Linked DNA regions of Oryctolagus cuniculus. The protein of the gene in region 2 interacts with the protein of the main gene of each other region in a pairwise test. Links are inferred from orthologs where the notes say so. Each region holds a gene or a part of one and is shown on either strand. Other genes may lie near its edges.

The links.
Region 1: the proteins of RGS19 (region 2) and GNAO1 interact in a two-hybrid assay, tested with the Homo sapiens proteins (2 studies listed by BioGRID). The link is inferred for Oryctolagus cuniculus from reciprocal best matches to the Homo sapiens genes RGS19 and GNAO1.
Region 3: the proteins of RGS19 (region 2) and GNAZ interact in a two-hybrid assay, tested with the Homo sapiens proteins (2 studies listed by BioGRID). The link is inferred for Oryctolagus cuniculus from reciprocal best matches to the Homo sapiens genes RGS19 and GNAZ.
Region 4: the proteins of RGS19 (region 2) and GNAI2 interact in a two-hybrid assay, tested with the Homo sapiens proteins (2 studies listed by BioGRID and IntAct). The link is inferred for Oryctolagus cuniculus from reciprocal best matches to the Homo sapiens genes RGS19 and GNAI2.

The regions. Positions count from the first base shown.
Region 1 is NC_091449.1:40,107,378-40,112,773, forward strand, and holds part of GNAO1 (guanine nucleotide-binding protein G(o) subunit alpha), read left to right. Parts: intron 1-1,530; coding exon 1,531-1,691; intron 1,692-5,396. UniProt on the Homo sapiens protein: Guanine nucleotide-binding proteins (G proteins) function as transducers downstream of G protein-coupled receptors (GPCRs) in numerous signaling cascades.
Region 2 is NC_091442.1:133,457-139,638, forward strand, and holds the start of RGS19 (regulator of G-protein signaling 19), read left to right. Parts: upstream 1-2,382; 5' UTR 2,383-2,524; intron 2,525-2,543; exon of another isoform or gene 2,544-3,057; intron 3,058-4,510; 5' UTR 4,511-4,578; coding exon 4,579-4,608; intron 4,609-4,752; coding exon 4,753-4,874; intron 4,875-5,603; coding exon 5,604-5,678; intron 5,679-5,760; coding exon 5,761-5,995; intron 5,996-6,074; coding exon 6,075-6,182. Other genes in the region: protein LKAAEAR1, read left to right, coding at 1-29, 137-259, 336-391, 782-1,586. UniProt on the Homo sapiens protein: Inhibits signal transduction by increasing the GTPase activity of G protein alpha subunits thereby driving them into their inactive GDP-bound form. Binds to G-alpha subfamily 1 members, with the order G(i)a3 > G(i)a1 > G(o)a >> G(z)a/G(i)a2.
Region 3 is NC_091452.1:31,634,064-31,638,355, reverse strand, and holds the start of GNAZ (guanine nucleotide-binding protein G(z) subunit alpha), read left to right. Parts: upstream 1-1,492; 5' UTR 1,493-1,712; intron 1,713-4,292. UniProt on the Homo sapiens protein: Guanine nucleotide-binding proteins (G proteins) are involved as modulators or transducers in various transmembrane signaling systems.
Region 4 is NC_091441.1:99,082,000-99,087,865, reverse strand, and holds the start of GNAI2 (guanine nucleotide-binding protein G(i) subunit alpha-2), read left to right. Parts: upstream 1-1,939; 5' UTR 1,940-2,155; coding exon 2,156-2,273; intron 2,274-5,866. UniProt on the Homo sapiens protein: Guanine nucleotide-binding proteins (G proteins) are involved as modulators or transducers in various transmembrane signaling systems.

The DNA.
Region 1 (5,396 bases), on a different chromosome or scaffold from region 2:
TCCACTTCCCACCCAGCTCCCTGCTAATGGCCTGGGAAAAGCAGTGGAAGATGGCCCAAGAGCTTGGGCTCCTTGCCACCCACGTGGGAGACCCGGAAGAAGGTCCTGGCTGTTGTGGCCATCTGGGGAGTGAACCAGTAGATGGACGATATCTCTCTCTGTCTCTCCCTCCCTCCCTCCCCCTCTCCCTTTAACTCTTTCAAATTTAAAAAAGGAAGCAGAATGTTTGTGCCCAGAAGCCCTTTTTGAACCGTGAAGTGCCGTGTGTGTGTGCAAGTGCCAGAGATGGCAGCTGTGTGACTTCCCCCAGAGCCTTGTGAGTCTCCAGCAGGTTTACTTACAGCCGCTGAAAACATGAGGGGAAGGGAGAAGAAGCCCGTGGATTATGCAGAGCCTTTCCTGCAGGCCCAGTGCTGTCCTTGCCTGCACAGTGTACCTAAAGCAGTTCTGCTACAGCCCCTCCCAGAGGGTGGGCCACAGGTCACAGAGGAGTCAGTAGGAATTCATCCAGTCGTTTTATTATGTACACACATACACACACACACACATACACACTCACACACACATGTGGTATGGCTTTGGTGCAAAGTGCATCCTGGTACCTTGTAGAGCTCTATTGTTATTATTTTAAAAGGCAGAGTAACAGAGGCACAGAGAAGGAGAAAGATCTTCCATCCACTGACTCACTCCTTAAATGCCCACAACAGCCAGAGCTGAGCTAGGGTGGAGTCAGGAACCAGGAACTCAGTCTGGGTCTCCCACATAAGCGGTAGGGGTCCAAATACTTCAATCATCGTCTCCCCCCTCCCAGGGTGCACATTAGCAGGAGGCTGGCGGGGAAGCACAGGCAGGACCCCAACCCCCGGCACTCCCATGAGAAATGCAACTGTCTCAGCTTAACCTGCTGCATTGAAGCTGCACCAGACACCAGCCCCTTGAGGTTTGAAGGTGACCTGAGGGCTTTTCACCAGGTGTGCTGGCTTGACCGCTGAGCCCTCTGCCCCGCCCACCCTGAGGTCCCGGGCTACTGTGACCCTCAGTTAACTTTAGCTCTCAAATAACCAGAAACCTCCTCTTTCCCCCAGTGTAGCCCAGTTCTGGGGCTTTTGCGCCACCTTGGGTAAGAAGTGTAGGAAATTGTAACTCTAGCCAAGGATATTGATTTTTAATTTTTCCCCCAAGCAAAAGTAGCGTGCAGAGACCCAGTTACGAGAGTAGGCGAGAGCTGAGCGATGGTGGTTGAGAGGGTGGAGACACAAGCCCGCCGGCCTCCCTTTCCGCTCACGCACACCCTCGGACTCCAAGGGCAGTGGTCTGGGCCCCCTGCGCCAGGGCTTCCACACGGAGGAGGCTCCACAAGGCCCTCGGAGACCAGAGCTCCTGCCTCTCCTGGGTAGCCTGCTGCTGTGCTGGTGGGGGCCTTGTCATAAACCCAGCCCCCGCCCCGTCCCAGCCAGGTGGGGCCCTTGGCTGGCCAGGGGTTTCCTGTCACCGCCAAGGCCTCCAAACCATCTCCGTGTCCCCTCCCAGGCCGACGCCAAGATGGTGTGTGACGTGGTGAGCCGGATGGAAGACACCGAGCCCTTCTCTGCAGAACTGCTGTCCGCCATGATGCGACTCTGGGGTGACTCAGGGATCCAGGAGTGCTTCAACCGGTCTCGGGAGTATCAGCTCAATGACTCTGCCAAATAGTGAGTGTCCCGGTCAGGGACTGCCAGGGCAGGGTGGGGTGCGAGGGGCCAGGGGCTGCCCAGGCGGGGAGGGGTGCGTGGGGCCGAGGTCACAGCATAGTGAGTGTCCTGGGCCAGGGGCTGCCCAGGCAGGGAGGGGTGCAACGGGCCGAGGTCAGAGCATAGTGAGTGTCCCGGGCCAGCGGCTGCCCAGGCGGGGAGAGATGCGTGGGGCCGAGGTCACAGCATAGTGAGTGTCCCAGGCCAGGGGCTGCCCAGGCAGGGAGGGGTGCGAGGGGCCGAGGTCACAGCACAGTGAGTGTCCCGGGCCAGGGGCTGCCCAGGCGGGGAGGGGTGCATGGGGCTGAGGTCAGAGCTGAGGCAGAACCTGCTGTGAGGGATTCTTCCACTGGTGCTGGTGGCAGGAGGCGTGAGAGGGGCCTCTCTTCTGCCCCCAGGACAAGGAAGAGGCCAGGGAAAGCGGGGACAGGGACACGTAGACCTGAGAGTGCCTGGCAGCCCTGGAGGAAGGTTCTCGGTGCCGCAGCTTTGGTTTGGTTGGTTGGTTTTCTTTCCTCAAGAGCCCCTGACTCCAGAAGCACAGGGCAAGAGAGCCATGTGGGCAGAAAATTCTTTAAATGCTGCCATTCTGTATTTTAGAGATAATGGTAAACTTTCCATTTCTCTATGTTTAAAATGTAAAATGATGAAGAGTAGAGAAGTGGGAAAAGCCAGGGTGGTCAGAAAGGGGGCCAGCAGAGAATGTGCTGCAGGCCTCCACAGGGGACCGTGGGGTCACCTGTGTGCCCCTGACCGTTTGTCCCTTAGCATCTTCAATGGTGCCCTCACTGGACACCTGCCCTTGGCTCCCAGGCCGAGGCTGTGAAGCCCTGGGAAGGTGGGCGTGGGCCGGGGGCATCTTCTGCTCTGAAGATCAGGGCCTATACCTGGGCTTTCCAGAAACACATCCCGCTTGGACAGTGTGGTCCCCAGGGGCCCCGGCCTAACCCGCTCCGAGGACAGACACAGTCTCCCCAGCCCCACCCGTGTCTCTCTCAGTCCAGGGGACACTCAGCAATGGCAGGGGACACTTTTAAATGCCACGACTAGGCTAGTGCCCCCGGCAGGCAGTGGCTAAAGGCCAGGGATGCTACTCAGCACCGTACAGTACCCAGGACAAACCTCACAGCAAAGCATTATCCAGGCCAAAACACCAGCCGCATGGGGATCAGGAGACCCTGATCCGCACAGTGCCAGCGTGGCAGAGCCCAGGGCCAGCGAGACAGACTTGCTGATGGACACGTGCCTGCTTCCAGTGGCCACGATGGCAGCCAACAAACCTGGACTTGAAGCAGGCCAAGAGCTTCCTATTCTGCACACCTGGTTGTCCACAAGGCAGAGGCCTAAGTGGGTCCTGGGAGCCTCAGCTGGTGGCCACCCAGGGTCCCAGGTACTGAGGAGCCCCAGGGACGCCCTGGGAGCAGGAGAGAGCCCAGAGCCTTCCTGCCCACGGGCCCCTGCACGCTTCCTTCACAAGCCCAAGCCAGGCTGAGAGGATGATCTCTGGCTGGCTCTCTGAAGGGGACCCCCGGAGGACAGCAGGGCTGGCAGCTCCTTCCCTCCTACTGCCAGGCCCAAGTCCCAGACCTCCTCCCCAGCTGCCAGCGGGAGCCTCCAGGTCTCCCAGGGGCAGCTGGCCTGAGTTTGTCTCCCGGTGATTCATCAAATGGTGTTCTCCACTTACATTTTGACCTATTTCATTAATCATCAAATGAATCCATTGCAAAAAAAAATTTTTTAAACAATAGCGAGGTGTATAAAATGAAAAGTGGTCTCCTGCCCCTCTAGGTCTCGTCCCTCCACCGCAGAGCGGTTTCCACTGCCGCGTCCCAGTGGTGTCCAGACAGAGTGGGCCTCCAGCTGTGCAGTGTTTCCAGACTCCCACCGTGAAGCCGGGGGGTCAGCTCCCCTCCCTCCCACCCCTCTCCACTACTACCTCCAGTTCTTTGCTGGTTGCAGGATTATTTTTTTTTTAACTTTTATTTAATGAATATAAATTTCCAAAGTACGACTCATGGGTTACAATGGCTTCCCCCCCCATACCGTCCCTCCCACCCACAACCCTCCCCTTTCTTACTCCCTCTCCCCTTCCATTCACATCAAGATTCATTTTCGATTATCTTAATATATAGAAGATCAGCTTAGTATACCTTAAGTAAGGATTTCAACAGCTTGCTCCCACACAGAAACATAAAGTGAAAAATAATAGATGATTTTTTTTAAATGATGATGAAATCAGATCAGACCTATTGTCATGTTTAATCCCAGTGAGAGTCAAGTTGGGAATTGATAATTTTTTTTTTTACAGAAGATCAGTTTAGTGTACATTAAGTAAAGATTTCAATCGTTTGCACCCCCATAGAAACACAAAGTGAAATATACTGTTTGAGTACTCGTTATAGCATTAAGCCTCAGTGTACAGCACATTAAGGACAGAGATCCTACATGAGGAGTAAGTGCACAGTGACTCCTGGTTGCAGGATTATTTTTAGTCCTGCTGGTCACCATTATAACTTTCAGTAAGGCTCTTGAGTTGGTATTTGTCAACTCTGTCCCCACTAAGCTGAGGAAATTCACCCGCCTTCCCTCTCGGCTCAGCATCCTGCCAAGTGCTGCCCTGCCAAGGTTTCACAGTTCTCTCCTGCCTTCCACGGTTTGGTCATCCATGTTCCACCTCCAGGAGAGAGGTCCATGGCAGGGAAGACAGGGGTACCCGACAGTCAGAGTCAGGAGTATCTTTTTTTTTTTTTTTTTAAGATTTATTGATTTATTTGAAATGTTCAATGAGAGAGTGAAAAAGAATGCCAGAGAGGGAGCAGTACCTTCCACCCACCGCTTCATGCCCCAGTTGGCCACAACAGCCAGGGCTGGGCTGAGCTGAAGCCAGGAGCCTGGAACTCCATGTGAGTGGCAGGGGCCTAAGCACTTGGGCCATCGTCCGCTGTTTTCCCAGGTGCGTCAGCAGGGATCTGGATCAGAAGTGGAGTAGCAGGGACCCAAACTGCCACTCCCATGTGGGATGCTGGCAGCCCAGCCCACTGCACCACGGTGCCAGCCCTGTCAAATGTATCTTAAATGCGGTCTGGTCCAGGGCTGCATTGTGGTAACTATTTTAGCAGTTTAGCCTCATCTCGGACCCAGTACATAAAACAGGTAAAAACAGATGTGTATGGGTTGGGGTAGAAAGGAGGCAGGCCCGGCAGTGCAGTCACACTGCACACTTACAGGGGGCGCTGTGTGCATCCTACAGCCCCCCAGTCACCATGGCTGCAGCCCTGTCCTTTACAGGTGAGGACCCAGGACTCAGAGGGAAAAGGGACAATGCCTGGCGTGGCCAGGCTCTCACTTGTGCTCAAGTGTGCCTCAAGCCTCAGTGAACGGGGCTGGCTCTGCCACTCTGGGCAGATCCCACCAGGGGCCACGCAAGTGAGTTCCCTGGCTTGGTGAGCTTCGGTTTTCCTGAACCAGCTCCCCGCTGCATTGTCTGTGCAGGCAGTCCACGTTTCCTCCCCTCATGCGCTCTCCTGTGCCCCTGTGGGCAGCCTCTTACTCCCGGTCCTGTGGAGACACCCAGCCAGCTGCGCGGTCACCGCCTCCTGTGTGCTCCCACTCGGGCCCCAGGCCTTCTCCCTCGGCACCTTTCCACCCGGCCTCAGCCGCTCAGAG
Region 2 (6,182 bases):
CCCTGCGGCTGCGCTACAACCGCCTGCGGGTGAGGCCGGACCGGGCGGACGCCAGGGGTGTGGCGCGGGGAGGGGACAGCCCGGGGCGCTGGGCGCTCTTCCTGGAGACCCCACTCAGCGCCCCTGCGGCCGGCAGACCGAGGAGATCTCGCTGCTCCTCCGGCGCCAGAGGTGTGCGCGCGCCGCCGTGCGGCTCGAGGCGTTCCTGCCGCCGCAGCTGAAGCCGACGCGGATCCCCGACCCGCTGAACCGGCAAGAGGTATGGGCAAGCCCGGGAGGGGGCGGAGAGGGGCCCCGCCCGCCCACGCACGCGACCGCAGCCCCTGTCCCCGTAGCGGAGGCGCGTGGAATCTATCCTGGAGGACAAGGCCGACGGCGTCGTCTTCCCGCGGTGAGCCCTCCTTGCGCGCCTCTGCACATAAAGTTCTTCCCCAAGGCGCCCTGGTCTGTCGGCTGTGCTCCCGGGACCCCCGGGGGGAAGGGGGCGGCGTGGACGCCGCCTCCCACGGGCCCTAGGGTACACGGCGAAGGGCGCACGCAGCACAGGAAGGAGATGCAGCCGCGGGTCCGAGCCGCAGGGCGCGCGGGCCCCACAGGCGTTCTAGCTTCCCAGAGCCCAGGGCCGAGGGCCATCTTCGCAGCAGGCAGCCCCAGGTATTGTGGGCAGGGGGCAGACACCAGGGAAGGGGAGTCCCCTGGACGTCCTCCCCACACCCCACTCGGCGAACAGCACGGCTGGGCAAGGAGCCGGGTCTCTAAGCAGCCCTGCCTTCCTCCCCAGAGCCGGCTCTCGGCCCCGCCCCTCCTTCCCGCGGAGGGGCAGGCGGGGACAGCTGCAGGAGCCCCCAGACCCTTCTCCCTGCCAAGGGCTCCCACTTGCTCTGCCTGGAGCAGAGCACGGATCTGGAAGTAGAGGCCAACTGGGAGCTGGGACGCAGCAAGGAATCCTGCCCGGCGGTGGCCAGGGCCCCTCCCCTGCCCGTGTGGGGACCTGGGCCCTCTGTGCCCTGCACCGGACCCTTCATCCCTTCCCGGCTGCTTGCTGCCCTCGGCCTTCATTCGAGCCTGGACAGTGTGCGGAGCTCCCAGAGGAGGGGAGAGGGCGGGGGGGGGGGGGCAGCTGCTCAGCCCCTGGCAGTCGGTGGCTCCAGAAGGTCCTGGCTCCTTGGCCAAGCTCCCTGCAGTCTGGACCAGAATTCCTTCAGGTTACGGAGTGCCTGGGACACGTTCGTCTATTTAATAAAATCACTTGTTATCCCATCACTTCTCGGAGCTTCCATTGCTTCCTGTTTAAAGTGAGGGTCTCAGTGCAGAGCCCCACGCCACCCCACAGTGCTCTGGGGAGAGGTCATGGGCGCAGGCAGGCACGGAGCCCAACCCCGGGGGAAGGCTGGCAAGACAGTGGCCGAGGCGGCTGCCCGGAGGGGCCAGGTGGGCACACGAGCACCCTTAAGTCCCCACTAGGGAGGGGGCCAGAGAAGGTGACCAAGGAAGCCTCTGGAGGGGGCTCCCACCTGCACAGTGCTGTGGCCCTGTGCGGGGTGGGGGTTCAGGCCCAATTCCACCATCCCCAGCCCCTCCCATGAGGCCAGGGGAAGGTCTGTGCTGACCAGCAGTGGCCTGGGGAGATGGATGCAGGTGCGGGGGGAGGGGAGCAGAGGACAAGAGGGAGGGAGTGTGCCAGCCCCCCACCGGGCCACACACCTGCATTTCCCTGCCATGGAGATACACCCCAAGTGCTGCAGGACAGTGTGGCTGTGGCCAGGGCCTCCCTGTCCTCCCCTGTCCCTCTCAGGACAACTACGTGGGCTACAGAAGAGGCAGCCACCCCTGTCCAAACAGGGCCTCCTGGCCTCTGCCTGCCCAGCCAGCCCCACAGAGCCGCCAGGGCCCCTGAACACAGCCCAGGTGTCCCCACCTGTGCCCCGGGAGAGGACGCTGGCCTCCGGAGCAGAGCAGGCAGTGCTGAGGGAGACAGGGGCAGCCGGAGCGGCCCAGTGGGCAGCAGACCTGCAGACCACGGCCAGGGCGGATGCGGCTCATGCTGACAATCAGCCAAAGCACCTGTGCCAGTCAAAGGGACTGGGCTAAGGGGACACTCGGGGCCACCGCAGGGGTCAACGGGGACTCAGCCAGGCCCCATGGGCCCTTCGGCGCGCCTCGGGGTGCGAGAACCGGCGCCCCTGCTGCCCAGCAGCGCCACGGCCCAGGGACGAGCTCCGGACCCCCACCCATGCGAGCAGTCCGGGCCGCATGCGGGACCGCAGCCAGTGGCCCACAGGGGCTGCGAAGCCATGGCCCCGCACACCACAGCGCCATCTCCCGGGGCCACCGCGGCCAAGCGCGGGGGGCGCCGGGCCGGGCGAGCGCGGGGCGGGGCGGACGGCGCGAGGAAGTCCCGGCCCGCGCTTTGGGGAAGTCCGTCGCGCGCCTGCGCACTGCGCCCGCGCCCCCTCCCCGACGCCGGGGCCGGACCTCGGAGCGCGCGGGCGGCGGCGGCGCTGGCGGCTCGGGAGCGCGGCCGGTGAGTGCGCGCGCGGCGCCGGGGACGGCGGCCCTGGCCTCGCGGCCGGCCCGGCGGTGCGCGGCGTGGCCGCCACGGCCTGCGCCGGGACCTGCCCCTCGGGGGCCGCGGTCGCGGGTCCACGTGGACCCCGGGCCGCGGCGGCACTGCAGCCCGCCCCGCGCCTGGGGGAGGGGCGCTGCGGCGGGTTCCCTTTTTGTGAGCTCGGAGCCCGGGGAGAGGTTGCTTAAAGGCGGGGGCCGGAAGGACCCAGGTTTCCGCGGCTCCCGCCCCGCTAGCTTGGCGGGGAGCGGCCGGGGCGGGACTCCCTGTGCGCCCCCGCCCCCACCCCGTCGGGTCGGCCGGCAGCCGCTCCGCGCTGCGAGGCGGACCGGAGGCCCTCGCGGGCCGGGGCTCGGGACGCCGCGGGAGGACCTCCCGCTGCCCGGCCTGGGCGCTGCGGCTGCTGCCGTGCCGTGCACGCCCCTTCGACAGCCAGGGAGGGGCCAGGGCGAACCGGCCCCTCCCGCCCCCACCCCGCCTTTGGGTTGCTGGTGAGTGGGGCCCAGGACGGGCTTCTTGAGATGGGGGTGGGGGCTGCGGAGTCTGCGGGGAGGGGTCCGCACGCCTCCTGCCTGGCCCCGGGGCGGGGACAGGGGAGGGAGGGATTCCAGGGTTGGGGGAGCCTGGCCAGACCGGGGCGCCGCCCCCCAGCCCCTGGCTAGGGCAGCGGGTCGGAGAGGTCCTGGGCGGGAGCAAAAGTTGGAAGGAGTCCCTGCCAGCCCCCTCCCAAAGATTGTGACATTTTTCTGAGATTGTCACATTTTCTTGTTCTTTTTTTGGACTGGGCGGGCTCAGGGCCGTTCTTCTTCCTTGTGTGGAGCAGAGCTGCCGCCGCTCCCGAGGGAGCCCTGTCCCCAGGGGCCGGAGTGGCTCCTGCTCTCCCCTTCCAGGCCCCGGGGGTGGGGAGGAGGGAGCGTGGGTCCAGACCCTACTGCCTGAGAGAGGGGCAGGGCTGGAGGAGGGCCCAGCACCCCCGACAGCCCCAGGCTGGGGTTCCTGCCTGGGGCAAGGGCCCTGGCTGCCGTGCCCCTTCTTTGGAAACGTGACTCCCACAGGGCACTTGGTTCCCCCCAACACACTTGGCTTTGGGACCCTCCTGGGAGAGGAAGCCCAGCAGGTGTCGAGAGGCCTTGGCCCAGGGACTGGAGTCGGTGGCCCGTGGGCCTTGTCCTTTCCTGGGTGCTGAGAGCCAAGGCCAGTGGGGTTGAGGATGCAGAGGCCAGGCTTGGGAGTGAGAAAATTAGAAAATAAAATAGAACCAAGTCCCAAGCCTCCTGGCCACAGACCCTCGGGAGAGGCCTGAGGGCCCTCACCTGGACACAGCTGCGCAGTGAGGGGATGCGCCGGGTTTGTGGCTGGCTTTGGCACCTAGTGCCCCTCCCCACAGAGGTGCATCCCAGAAGTGGAAAGGCACACCCCCACAGGGTCTCCAGGCCGACTGGGGGCGGGGTGGTCTCCCTGGCTGGCCCTGAGGCTGGCGGCCGGCAGTGGCTTCTGAGCCTGCAGGTGCTGGGCCCAGAGGGTGGGGACCTCAGTGTGCCAGTGGGGTGTGAGGGTCAGGGCAGCTGCGGGCCAGAGACGCCCGACCCGGGGCCCAGATCCCTCCTCCAGCTTCCTGTCCTGCCTCAGGCTTCGGGCCTTGCCACAGAGAGGGAAGGAGCAGCTCATGTCACCACCTCCAACGACGCACAGTCCCCTCGGGAGGGGCCCAGAGCCGGAAACCAAGAAAGAGGAACCCAGGCTTCCGGCTCCCAGGCGCTGAGCCGACGGGGGTGTCCCAGAACCTCCTCTGGGGGCCTCCTCTGGGGGCCAGCCTGGGAGGAGGGGCCGGAGGCTGGGGCAGAGGGCAGAGCAGGGAAGGAGGTGTGCTGCAGGCCACTCCCGCAGGACAGCTAGGGTCTGGGGTCACAGGTTCTCGGTCAGAACCTTGGCCCCTCTTCCCAGACCCCCCGGCTGTGGTGAGGGCCTTGGAGCTGGCATCTCGGAGCCTGGGCCGCCTGCTTTACCCACCCATGCCCACCGCGCATGAGGCTGACAAGCAGGTATGCTGCTCCCTGTCTGTCCCGGCCCCCTGGGGAGGGGGTAATGAGGGGTCAAGGTATCCCTGAATACCTGGGGTGGGCAGAAGGCACAAGTCCAGGTTTGGGGGGTTCCACCTTGAGGCTGAGGAAGCCCTGTGTCCCCAGCACGCAGGGCCAGAGGAGGCAGACCGGCCGCCTTCGATGTCCAGCCGTGATGCGGCCCCCACGGCGGCCCCCAGCCGCAACCCCTGCTGCCTGTGCTGGTGCTGCTGCTGCAGCTGCTCCTGGTACGCGCGCCTGGGACCAGGCTGGGCCCGGGCGGGAAGGGAGGTGCAGAGGTCTGGCCACCTGACGTGGCCCTGGCGTCCGTATTCAGGGCCTGGTCCCAGACTTGCCGCAGCGCCAGGGCTGGTCCCTGTGCAGGGCCAGGCCTGCTGCGTGCGCCTTCACCCCTCCCTGGGTGCCTGGTCATCCTGGGGACCTTCAGTGGAGCGAGACGGGCACAGCCCTAGAGTGGGTGGAACAGAGAGACCCCAAGGAGGGAGCAGCTGGCCCTGGGCACGGGGAAGACCTGCCCAGGCAGCAGGGTCAGTGTGTGCATGAGGCCGCAGTGGGGCTCCAGGGGTGACCAGAGTGCAGGGCAGCTGCTGGACATTGTAGTCTTTGCAGAGGTGTCAGGGCCTCGGTTACTGAAGGGACAGGACATGGGGACCTCACGTGTAGTCAGCTGACCCACGAGCAGCCAGGGCCTGACAGTCCAAGCAGGACATGGTGGGTGGTGGGAGGGGTGCAGGGACCCCTGCATCAGCCAGGTCATACCCCCAGTGAGGGGAGGGAGCCCAGGAAGAGGCACACGGTCACACTGCTGAGGAGGACGAGGACCAAGGCTGCGGCCTGGGCGCTCCGGCCTGCATGGGAAGGAGCCTACAGGAGGCTGTTCTCCTGTGAGCCCCGGGCTGGTGGGCGGCGTGGGGGCCCCACGTGCCCAGGGCAGTGCAGCCCCTGTGTCTGCTCAGGAACCAGCAGCGGCGGCGAGCGTGGCAGGCCTCCCGGGAGAGCAAGCTGCAGCCCCTGCCCAGCTGCGAGACGTGGTGAGTCCAGTGGCCTGCGGGGGGGGCGGGGGGGGCTCAGGCCAGAGGCCCTGGGCTGAAGTGGCTGGCCCCGTGCCTGCAGTGCCACGCCGAGCCCCGAGGAGGTGGAGAGCTGGGCGCAGTCCTTTGACAAGCTGATGCACAGCCCTGCGGGCCGCAGCGTGTTCCGGGCCTTCCTGCGCACGGAGTACAGCGAGGAGAACATGCTCTTCTGGCTGGCCTGCGAGGAGCTCAAGGCCGAGGCCAACCAGCACGTGGTGGACGAGAAGGCGCGGCTCATCTACGAGGACTACGTGTCCATCCTGTCCCCGAAGGAGGTGGGGCGGGGGCGGCCGGTGCTGGGCAGGGGTCGGGAGGCACCGCCTGGGCCCCTGACCGTGCTGCCCTGTCTGGCAGGTCAGCCTGGATTCCCGGGTGCGGGAAGGCATCAACAGGAAGATGCAGGAGCCGTCCGCACACACGTTCGACGACGCGCAGCTGCAGATCTACACGCTGATGCACCGG
Region 3 (4,292 bases), on a different chromosome or scaffold from region 2:
AACAGTCCCCTCTTACTCTCAGGTGAGGAAGGCCGCGGGAGACCCCCTGCCAGAGTGGTCCTCCCACTGTGGCATCTGGGTTTGCCCCCTGCAAACAGCCCAGCTCGGACCCCATATCCAGCTGTGGGAACTTCCAGTGCCCACCTCTGAACATGTGCAGATGATTACTTCCTGCACAGCTGCCCCTCAGAAGGAGGAAGCCCCTCCAATGCCGGGCAAATTCCTTTGGCCACCTCCAGTGGGCCCTGCGCCAGCTCTAAGTCCCACTCAGTGGTGCCCAGAACCAATATCTATCCCATTCCTGACTGTGCAAGAGCACCTGCCCGGGGGCGGGGGGGCAAATGGTGTCTCCATGCCACAGCAGCCGGCTGGCACAGCCAGAGACCTGTGCCCCTGCTTTTCAGACCACACACCTGGGCTGGGGCCACAGCCCGCCTTGACCCCTGCCCATGATCAGTTGCAGAGCACAATGAGAGGGGCGATGGGGTGATCTGACCACATAAAGCGATAAGGAAAGAGCTGACCAGGAGTGTGCGTTTCACAGGGAGGCTGCGGGGATGCATAAAGCTTCAGGTTACCATGATGGAAAGACAGCAGCATTCCTAGCTGGGGCACTCTGGCCTGACCCTTTTAAGCACGGAAGTGGAGGGGTCCTGGCCCTGGGGCCCACAGATAGGCTCCTCCTGAAACCGAAAGGAGAATTTCACAGCCTGTCAGGTGCATTTGAGGGTCCCAAACACACCTACGGGGGATGGGGGAGGGGGTGTGCTGGTGTTACAGGAGCTGACTCCTTTCTTTTCCTCGGGTTGGGGGGCCCAGCTCCTAGACCCTTCCGCCTCCCATACCTCGCAATGCAACCTTGCCTCGGGCCAGGATGGCCAGGTGTCCCCAAGACACGCGCTGGGAGCAATCACCGCAGAGATGACGAATGTCCTCTCCCATTGCTGCACAGACCTCACCGCTGCACGCCTTTGGGATTTCCATAGGCCCTTCACACGACCCAGCGGACTGCAGCGACAAACCAGGGAAGCAGGTGTCGCCAGCCTCACTCTGCAAAACAGCAAGGCTGAGAGAGAGGTCAGTCGGGTGCCCAAGGTCGCGGAGCTCAGAAGGGGCTAGGCTGGTTTCGAACCCTGGCCGGGAGAAGGAGCCCGGGGTCGTCCACAGTGGAGGGGACCGGGGCCACCGCCGAGGGTGGTGTGTAGCCCCGGCCACAGCGCCACGCAGTCGGGGAGTCGCCAGAGCGGGCAGCGCGTGCGGGACTGCGGCGCGCGCCAAGCCATAGCCCCGCCCCTGCCCGTCGCCATTGGGCTGCTTGAGCGTCCGTCAGCCGCCCGCGCCCAATGGACAGCCAGCCGGCGCCCGTGGTGGGGCTGTGGCGCCCGGCGCGTGGTGCCCAGCGGGCGCGCGGCACCCCCCGCCCGCGGTTGGCCTGGCAACGAGCTGCGCTCGCGGCTCCGCCCCCTGCCGGCGGCGGCGCGGCGCGGCGCGGGGCGGGCGGACCCGCGGGCGGGTGGCGGGCGGCGCGGGAGGGCGGGCGGAGGGAGCTAGGCCGGCCGGAGCGTGTGCGCCGCCCGCGGTCCGGTCACGTCCCCGCGCGGGTGCCGCCGCCCCGCGTCGTGCGGAACGAGGGAGCCTCTGCCCAGCGATTGCCGCGCCGCCCCGCCCCGCCCGGGAGCAGGTCGGCAGATGCACGGTGCCGCGGCCCTGAGGTGAGTGAGCGGATCCGCAGCCCGGGGCTCGAGGCTGAATCTGGGGTGTCGGGGGCGCGGCCCGGGCGTCCACCCCACCCCCACCTGGGCCTTTGTGCTCGGGATCCGCCCGGGCGCAGCGTCGAAGATGCCCGGCCGGGGTTGGGGGTGGCGGGAGCGGGGGTGCCTGGTGTGTGAGGCAGGGGGCGGCTGCGACGCCGGCAGGTGCTGGGGGAGCGAGGTGCGCTGGGCCGAGGAGAGCGGCTGCGGGCCGGGGGTGGATGGGCCGGGGGCACCGGTCTCTCCTGAGCAACCAGTGGTGCGGAGCCTGGGCCGGGCGGCTTGCGGGAGCGGTGCCGAGGCGGGGTCTCCCTCGGGGGATGCTGGGCGGCGGAGGAGGGAGGGGAAGGAGGCGACCCCGGGTGGTCGAGGCGCCGACGCGTGGCCTTGGCTGAAACCTAGCAGAAGAGCCAGGGAAAGGGAGGCCTGGGCCCGGGACTGACGACTCGCCGTTCTCGGTCATTGCTCTGGGAGCAAGCAGGTTCCTCTGAGCCATGCAAGCGAGACGTGAGTATCGACCTGCTGCGATTAGAATACGTTCCTGGCTCAATATTATTATTATTTTTTTTACCTTAAAAGGCGGTGAGGTGTTTGGGGGAGGGTTGTTGAGGCCTCCTGCCCGGGCCTCGGTATCCTGCGGCGATCTGGGTGGGGAGGGAGGGGGCCTCTGCCTTTAGTGCGGTGCTGAGCCTTTCTGGGTGATGGTGGCGGAAATCCGCCTAGGCCGAGGATTGGGGCTCCCTGTTACACGGAGAGAAAGGATGAGAAGGCGGTGCCAGGCGAGACCAGGGTTCCCTGGAGCCCGCATCTCTGGGTGGGGAGACCTGCCTGGTGGGTCTGTCTACACTGGGGAGACGGCCCCTGACCTGCTTCCTTCTGCCCTGCCCTAGGGGATCTCATCTCTCTACCCTGGCCCTGTCTGGAAGAAGCTCCTTGGCGAAATTCAATTAAGCAAATATTTACTGAGCGCAGGCTCCCCCAGGGCCTGGCGCTGGGGTGGACGGGGTGGGAGTGCAGTCGGCCTGCCCTCCCTCCCCAGGGACTGACTCCCACAGGGGAGAGACAGACGTCTGTGCTCTGATAACCCAGCCCTGATTGCCGGTGCCCAGGCCTCAGAGAGGTGCCCGGGGCTTGGGTCAGACCGGCCTGTGGGCAATGTGACATTTGAACTGGAGCTTGAAGGACATGAGCACAGCTGGGGTGGGCTCTGTGGGCCAGGGGGATGGGGGCACAGAGGGTGCCTGGCAGTTGGGTTTAGTGGGCGCCTGGTGTGTAATCAGGAAGGAGGAGGAGGGGTGTGGCAGGGAAGGCGGGTGGGGGCTGCACAGCCCGGGAGGGGCCGTCCTGTGGGTGCTAGGGAAGTGGAGCAGCCCCAGTACTTATTTGCAGTGTGGCTGCAGACGGCAGGTTCCTTGCCTATGAAAGGGGTGCAGTTCTGTGACCCTGTGAACTGGGGTAGGCTCGGGAAAGAGCTTTAAAGATAGGAGAGAGCCCCCTTGCAGCCCGGGACTCCTCCTCCCAGGCACTTTATGTCTTGGGCAGGGCCGGGGCTCTGGGTGACCAACCGCCCAGCTCTGTTCTTCACGGGGATGGAGCTGCCTGCTTTAGAAGGGGTGATGCTTAGCTGGTGACTGTGCCTTTGGGCTGTGGCTGTCTGAAAGCAGCAGCCATGGCGGCCAGGGAGAGTCCGTCTAGGGGGTGGGGGTGCACAGGGCCTGGCCATGCCTGGATGGAGCAGTGAGCCTCCTTCTACGGGGACCGTGAGACACTGGCATTTGGTCTAAACTCATCCCGTGTGTTCCTGACAGACGTTGCCTTTGTGAGACAGAAGCTGAATGGGACGTGGTTCCTCCCCCTTGGGAAGCTGCTGTCCCCTCCTGCCCTGGATCTGCCCCCTCGCTCCTTGGGGGTGCTTCCACCCACCCTCTAAAGTGCTGTTTGCCCCTTGTCTTTGTAACATGCCTGCCCCCAGACACACACACACATGCGCGTGTACACACACACACACACACACACACACACAGGCATTGGGCTGAGGCCCAGGTTGCTGCAGCGAGAGCAGGGCCAGTGTGCGCTCGCCAGGTGTCCAGTCTGTACTGAGCAGGATGAAGCTGCTTCACTGTGTGCCCCTCCCTCTGGCCTGTTCCAGGGAGCCTGCCGTGGACTCCAGGGTTGGGACAGCAAATGGATACCTTCGTCTGTCTCCAGCCTCTCGGCCTTTCTGTTTCCTGGAGCCGGGGGGCAAAGTGCCTTGGTCTGGATCTCAGGAGCTTCTGGGTGATTCCAGGAGCATCGTGGTATCTGGACATATTTGGCCAGGCTACCCAGGGCTTGGGGGGATGAAGCATCCCCCTGAATGCCAGGGAAGGGCTGGTCTTGGATTCAGGGTGTGGCCTCAGCCTCGCCGCTTGGTTGTCTTTTGTGTGAGCATGGATGACGGTGTGTGCAGCCCTGTGCTGTCCCATGCTGGCCTCAGAAGACCAAAGACTCTGGGTGGCTGTAAAGGTGTCCCCGCTGCTGTTGACCATGGATGGCTCCCAG
Region 4 (5,866 bases), on a different chromosome or scaffold from region 2:
TGGCAGGGGATGGTGAAGTGGCAGCAAGGCCAGAGCAGGGCCCAGTAGGAGTGGGATGTGCCCTGTTCTGGACGGTGTGGGTTTGAGTTCCCCGGGAGATCAGAACAGTGGTGGCCGTGGGGCTGGCAGTCAGAGTCATCAGGCATTTAGCGCTCTGAGCCCCTGGAGTGGCTCGCAGAAGCTTGGCCACAACCTTGGGGACCCACATGAAGGAGCAGCCTGCGGCATGGAAGTAGGGGTCACTGGACTTATGGGAAGAGCACAGGACTGAAAAAAAGTGCCTGACTCTGGGAATGGCGCTGCCTGAGAGCCACAGAACCTTGGGCTGTGGCTGGAGAGGGCTGTGCCTCCCAGGGGCCCCGTCCTAACCCACCTCCATAAATTGGGGTCTGCGTCCTGCCCACCTCCCCAGAGCTGGGCCTCCGAGGGGCTGACAGGTTCTCCCTGTTGCCTGGCAACCGAGAGAGCTGTTGGCTGTTGCTAGGAGCAGCCTAGGAGGCCTGAGCTGCCAGGATCGCTCGAGGGGCGGGGCTGGCGGGGGAGGGGCCTGCCTTAGAGCCGTTTGTAGTCTGTGTGGATAGACTTGTGTTCTTGGTTGTGTACAGTCATTTTTATAATGTGCTCTGTGAATTTGAGGCATGCTGGGGGCTGGGTCTAGGTGCTGATGTAGAGGGCATATTTCTGTGTTTGCCCCTGGAGGGCATCATGTGTCTTTATCATGTTTGTTGCCTGCGCCGGGCCAGCTTGAGCTCCAGGCAGGAGGGAGCGGCGGGGGAACACTGGGAGACTTACAGGCCAGGGACTTGACAACAAGGGAGACATTCAGAGGGAGACACACAGACAACTCCCGGGAGAGCGGACAGACTCAGAACTGGGAGCCCGCTAGAGAGGAGGGGACGGGGGTGTGGGTGTGGGTGGCCACACAGGCACCCTGCCTGGCATCAGAGATCTTCCCTGCCTCTGGGCCGGGCTCTCCCAGGCTCACAGCACTAGGACCACTCAGGACGCTGCAACACTTCCCACGTTCACCTGAGGTTGGGGCTGTGGGTTCCCCCAGAAAGCAGGATTGGAAAGACTTGAAAGATTCAGCTGAAAACAGTGCTGCCGGCGCCCCAGCTTTGCCCAGCCAGAGGGGACATGGGAGGTGGTACTGACCGTGGAAGGAACAGGTCATAAGATACAAGACCACAGTCACTTTTGTTTCCAGAAGCCCGGTGGTAACGTCTCTCTCATCTCTCTCTCTCTTTTTCTCTCTCTTTCTCTCTCTCTCTCCCTCCCTCCCTCCCTCCCTCTTTCCTTCGTGGCCCGGTTGCTCGGCCCAGGCTGCAGTCTTGGGTGGCTGCTGCAGGACACCGTCTCCCAGCAGATCAGGGAAGTGTGCGTGAACTCTGATGTCTCAGAAAGACAGCTCAGGTCAAGGTGTGGAGGTGGCAATCGACTTATTTTTGTTTTTGATTTTGTTACTACCCAGAGAAAGAAAGGGAGGAAACCCGCTTAAGATTGAAAAGAAAAAAAAAAAAAAAAAAAAAACACCAAAACCGCAGTCCAGAAAGGCTCTCGGGTTCTGCAGATCCCTAAACGAGTTTATTGGGTACATTAACTAACAAGTGAGGAAGACACGCCTCCTCCCCTCTCGCCCTACTTGTAGAGGGCGGGCTCGTGCTCGGCCCTCGGGGCACCGGCTCCCCACCCTCAGGGTACTCTACCCGCCCGCCGCCGACTCCGGGCGCCCGGTACCCAATGGGAGCCCGGCCCCGCCTGCAGCCCGCCCAGTGCCCGGTCTCCCCGTTGGGCTCCACCGCTATCGCGGTCCCTCCGCGTGGCCCCGCCTCCAGCCGGCCGCAGCCGGGGCTGCGCCTCACTTTGCCTCTCGCTCCTCCCTCGAGCCAATCGCCAGCCCCGAGTCTCTTACGGTGCCGCCCCCCAGGCCCGCCCCGGCCCAGTCCCGGGCTCCGCTCACCGGGGCCCCACCCCTGGCCCGCCCCGCCGTCGGTGCGCGGCCACGGGGAAGGCGCCTCCCGCAGACGCTCGGAACTGCCGACCCGAGAGCTAACCCGCGGAGGGCCGGCGGCGGGAGCGGAGTGGGTCGGGCGGGGCCGAGCCGGGCCGTGGGCCGTGTGGGGGCCGGGCGGCGGCCGGGCCGGCGGACGGCGGGATGGGCTGCACGGTGAGCGCCGAGGACAAGGCGGCGGCCGAGCGCTCAAAGATGATCGACAAGAACTTGCGGGAGGATGGCGAGAAGGCGGCGCGGGAGGTGAAGTTGCTGTTGTTGGGTGAGGCCGCGCCCCGCGCTGGGACCCTTGACTTCCCAGACAAGACAGAGACAAGACAGAGGCTTCAGGCTCACCAGTCTGGATCCCATCTGGGCTTGAACCCTTAGCAGCCTGGCCGAGACCTGCAAATAAGGGTGGGCGATTCTGGGTTGATCTAGACCTGTGGTCCTACCCAGAGACCTGGGTAGCTCACCCCAGACTCAGCAACCCCTAACCAAGCCAGCAGTGCCCCAACATCGCTGCCCAGACCCCTGCTTGATTGTCTCTTCCGACTGACCAGCCTCACATAGCCTTTCCATCCTCCGTTAGCTGCTACCCAGACCCCGGCACCCCACTCTGCCTCCACCCTTGGGCTTCACCTGTTTCCCCTACCTGTTCCCCGGATTCCTGTTGGGCAGGAGCATCCCCAGGGCCCCACCAGCTCCCTGCCCCATTCTGTGTCCCACCCACCCTCTGAACCTGTGCCCTGCACCTGTGCACCCCGACCGTCAGGGTGGGAGCTGGCTGCTCCGGAGCCCTGTCTCTCCAGCCAGAACCTCTAGAGACCCATCTCTGCAGGCCTCCCTCGCCACACCTGTGCCCTTCCTCCCCTAAGTGCTGCCCCCTGATCCTCCACTCCTCCTGCACCAGGTGGGCCTGGCTCTGAGAAGACCCCCCGCCCCGGGGGGAGGGGACGTTTAGGCAAATCCTCCAAAGGGGCTGGGCTGAGGCTCCACTGGTCCCGCTGGGGGAGGGGGCCAGGCTCAACTTTCCAGGGAGACTCCGCTCCTTGGGAATTTGTTTTCCCGTCTCCAAGGCCTGGCTGGGCTGCCGAGAGGGAAGTATGTGAAGTGGGAGGGCATGTGGAGGAGGCCGGGGTTGTGGCTGCTTCCAAGGCCAGGGAAGATGGTGGCTGCTGGGGTGGTGGGGGAAGTGGAAGTGGTGAGACAGCCGACATGTTGCTGCCCCTGCAGGCGCCAGGGAGATCCGCTGATGGGGCCTGGGCTGTGGGCTCCGCGAGGGGGTGGGCCTGTCGGATCTTGGGGCTGTGTGAGGGGGGTGGTGGAGCTGAGCGAGGGGTTGGGGGGCCAGCTGTGATGGGTCAGGGTGCCCCCAGGCATCTGAGCTGGCCTTTTGCAAAGATTTTGGGTCTGCTGGTGGTCCCTGGCCAGCCTCCTGCTGGGAGCAGGGGTGGTGCCCAGTGGAAGCCTGGTTTGGGGGGGTTTCGGGTGGGGGCAGGCCCTCCGAACAGCGGTACAGGCTGGATAGTACGTGTGTGGGGGTGTGGTCCCTCTGCCTCGGAGCGGCCCGGGAGCCTCCAGGCTGTGAAAAGCGGGGCTTTTCACGCTGGGCCTGTGGCCCAGGAAAAGCATGTAGCTCTATTATGGGCCCATCTGTTGACTGTCCCTGCGGGCCCGGCCTCAGGGGCACAGCCCCGGAGGTTTCAAAATGGCATCCGTTCCGCGGGGAGGAAGAGAAGGGGAGGGAAGGGGCGGCGGCCCAGCCTCCTGGGCTGCCTTGCGTTGGGCGCTTGCCTCTTCCTGTCTGCTGCGAGTGCAGCGGCGGTGAGTGGGTGTCGACGCGGCGGAATGCCCGTCGCTGCCGGGCCTGGGAGGGCACTTCCGGTACCCGCTGCCTCCCTGCGCCCAGCCAGGAGCCTCTGGCCAGCCCTCCCTAGGCTGATCACGGCCCTTCTGGTGGCTGAGGGGACAGGGGAGTGGGCCGCAGGGTCAGGGGACACAGGATGCTTGGCCTGTTCTTTGCCCCGACTCCGAAGTGTCCCCCAGTCCCACCAGGCATGCCCCTGGGAGCCCAGCGAAGCTTTTGGGCCAGACCAGGTGGGACCTGGCAGCCCCTCCCCCGCTGGGCCCATAGCAGCCAGAGTGCAGTGTCTGGCTCAGCACTTTCTGGCCTGAGGCGTCCATCCCGGTGTTAGGCCTCTCTGGCCTTTGCTGCCTCTGTAAAATGGGCTTCCTGGGTTTGGGCCAAACAAGTGCTGCCTCAGGCAGGACAGAGAGAGCGGGAGTTTGGTAGCTGTGCGGGCTAGGGACTGAGACCCTGCAGAGTGTGAACTGCACGAGGCTGGGAAACCAAGCTCTGCCTGGACCGCAGGACCCTGTCTGCTGTGGCTGCTGGGGAAGGGTCCTGGCTTGAGCCGTCCCTTCCCCTCCAGATAGAAGGTGGCGGTGGGAGCCCGGCTGTGGCCGGTTCTGAGTTCTGGGCGCCTGTCTCACGTAGCGGGAGACTCTGTCCAGGCAACGGGCCTCAGGCTGGGTAACTGCCAGCCTTCTCTGTCTGCCAGAACCACGCCTGCTGCCCCACCCGCACGCTGGCTCCCTCTCGTCCCTGGTAGCCCTGCCAGGAGGCGGGCACAGTCGCTGTCACCAGGGCAGGGGCAGATGTAGTACACACTGGCACGAGGGTTTTTCCTGGCAGCTTGACGCAGAGGAGCCGCTACCACTCCTGCTTCAGGGACGCCCCCCACCCCTACCCAGTTCAGCTCAACTGACCAGCAAGGCCCATATGGAATCTGGGGCTTGAGGACTGGCGCTTAAGGGGAAGGAAGTCAGAGTTGCTGGGGGAGGCTCAGCTGTAAGATGGGATCGTGTGTGTGGCCAAATGTGTGGAGACGTGGAAGTAATGAGCAGCAGTTCCCTTTCTGCGCCCGGGACTTTGCGTCTGGTGAGCTCCGCAGCTTACTCGGGGCCTCTCGCAGCAGCCTTTCCCCGCCAGGGCAGGTCAGGCATCTCCCTGGCTCCTGGTTGCCTCCCTCGTGGCTGCGGGGGTAGGGCTGTGTCCCCTTCATTCCTGTGCCCAGTGTGCACCTGGCACCTGTTGGGTGCTTCTCACCTGTTTGTTGCATGAAGAAAGTGTCCTCTTGGTGTGAGGACAGACTGGAGGAAGAGTAAGATGGGAATCGCTGGGCCACAGTGCGGCATGCTGTGGTGTGGGCAGGTGGCAAGGGCCCAGGGGACACTGAGAGCAAAGCTCTTCAGGTTCTTCCTCCTAGCCCACCACACGCTCCATGGGTCCTTCCGAGTCAACCCTGTCCCCTGCAGAGCTAAGTGCCGCCCAGCCTCAGCCTGGCCCAGTGCACGGCGCACAATAGGGAGGACCCCAGCTGTCCGTGTGGGAGAGCGACTGCGTTTTTCCTTCCGATTCAGGCTGCTTGCCGACTGCTTCGGAGCTGCTGTCTCTCTGTCTCTCACCCTCCAGTAGCTCCCCTACAGCCTGAGCTGGCTGGTCCTGCTGGTGCGGACTGGGCCTGCCCTCGGAGCTGCTGGGCCTGGCCAGCACAGAGCCTGCACGGAGAAAGGGCCTGCCAGGTGAAGTTCACATGAGGAGTCGTGGCCGCTGTGCTGAGTCTGTAGCACAGGGCTGTGCGTACTAAGTGTGTGTGGAAAGAACGAAGCTGCTGAATATATCCAGGGATCCTGGCTAGTTGGCAGACTCTGTTGGTGCCTGTGAAGGGGGCTTCCTGGAGGAGGGGTCCTCTGAGTGGTCTTGAAAAATGAGTGCCATTTGCCAAAGCTGGGCACTGTGCGCAGAGGAGCCAGCTCGGCAAGGACCTGAGGCAGAAAGACCTTGCCTACACGGACTCCCAAGGCCTTGAA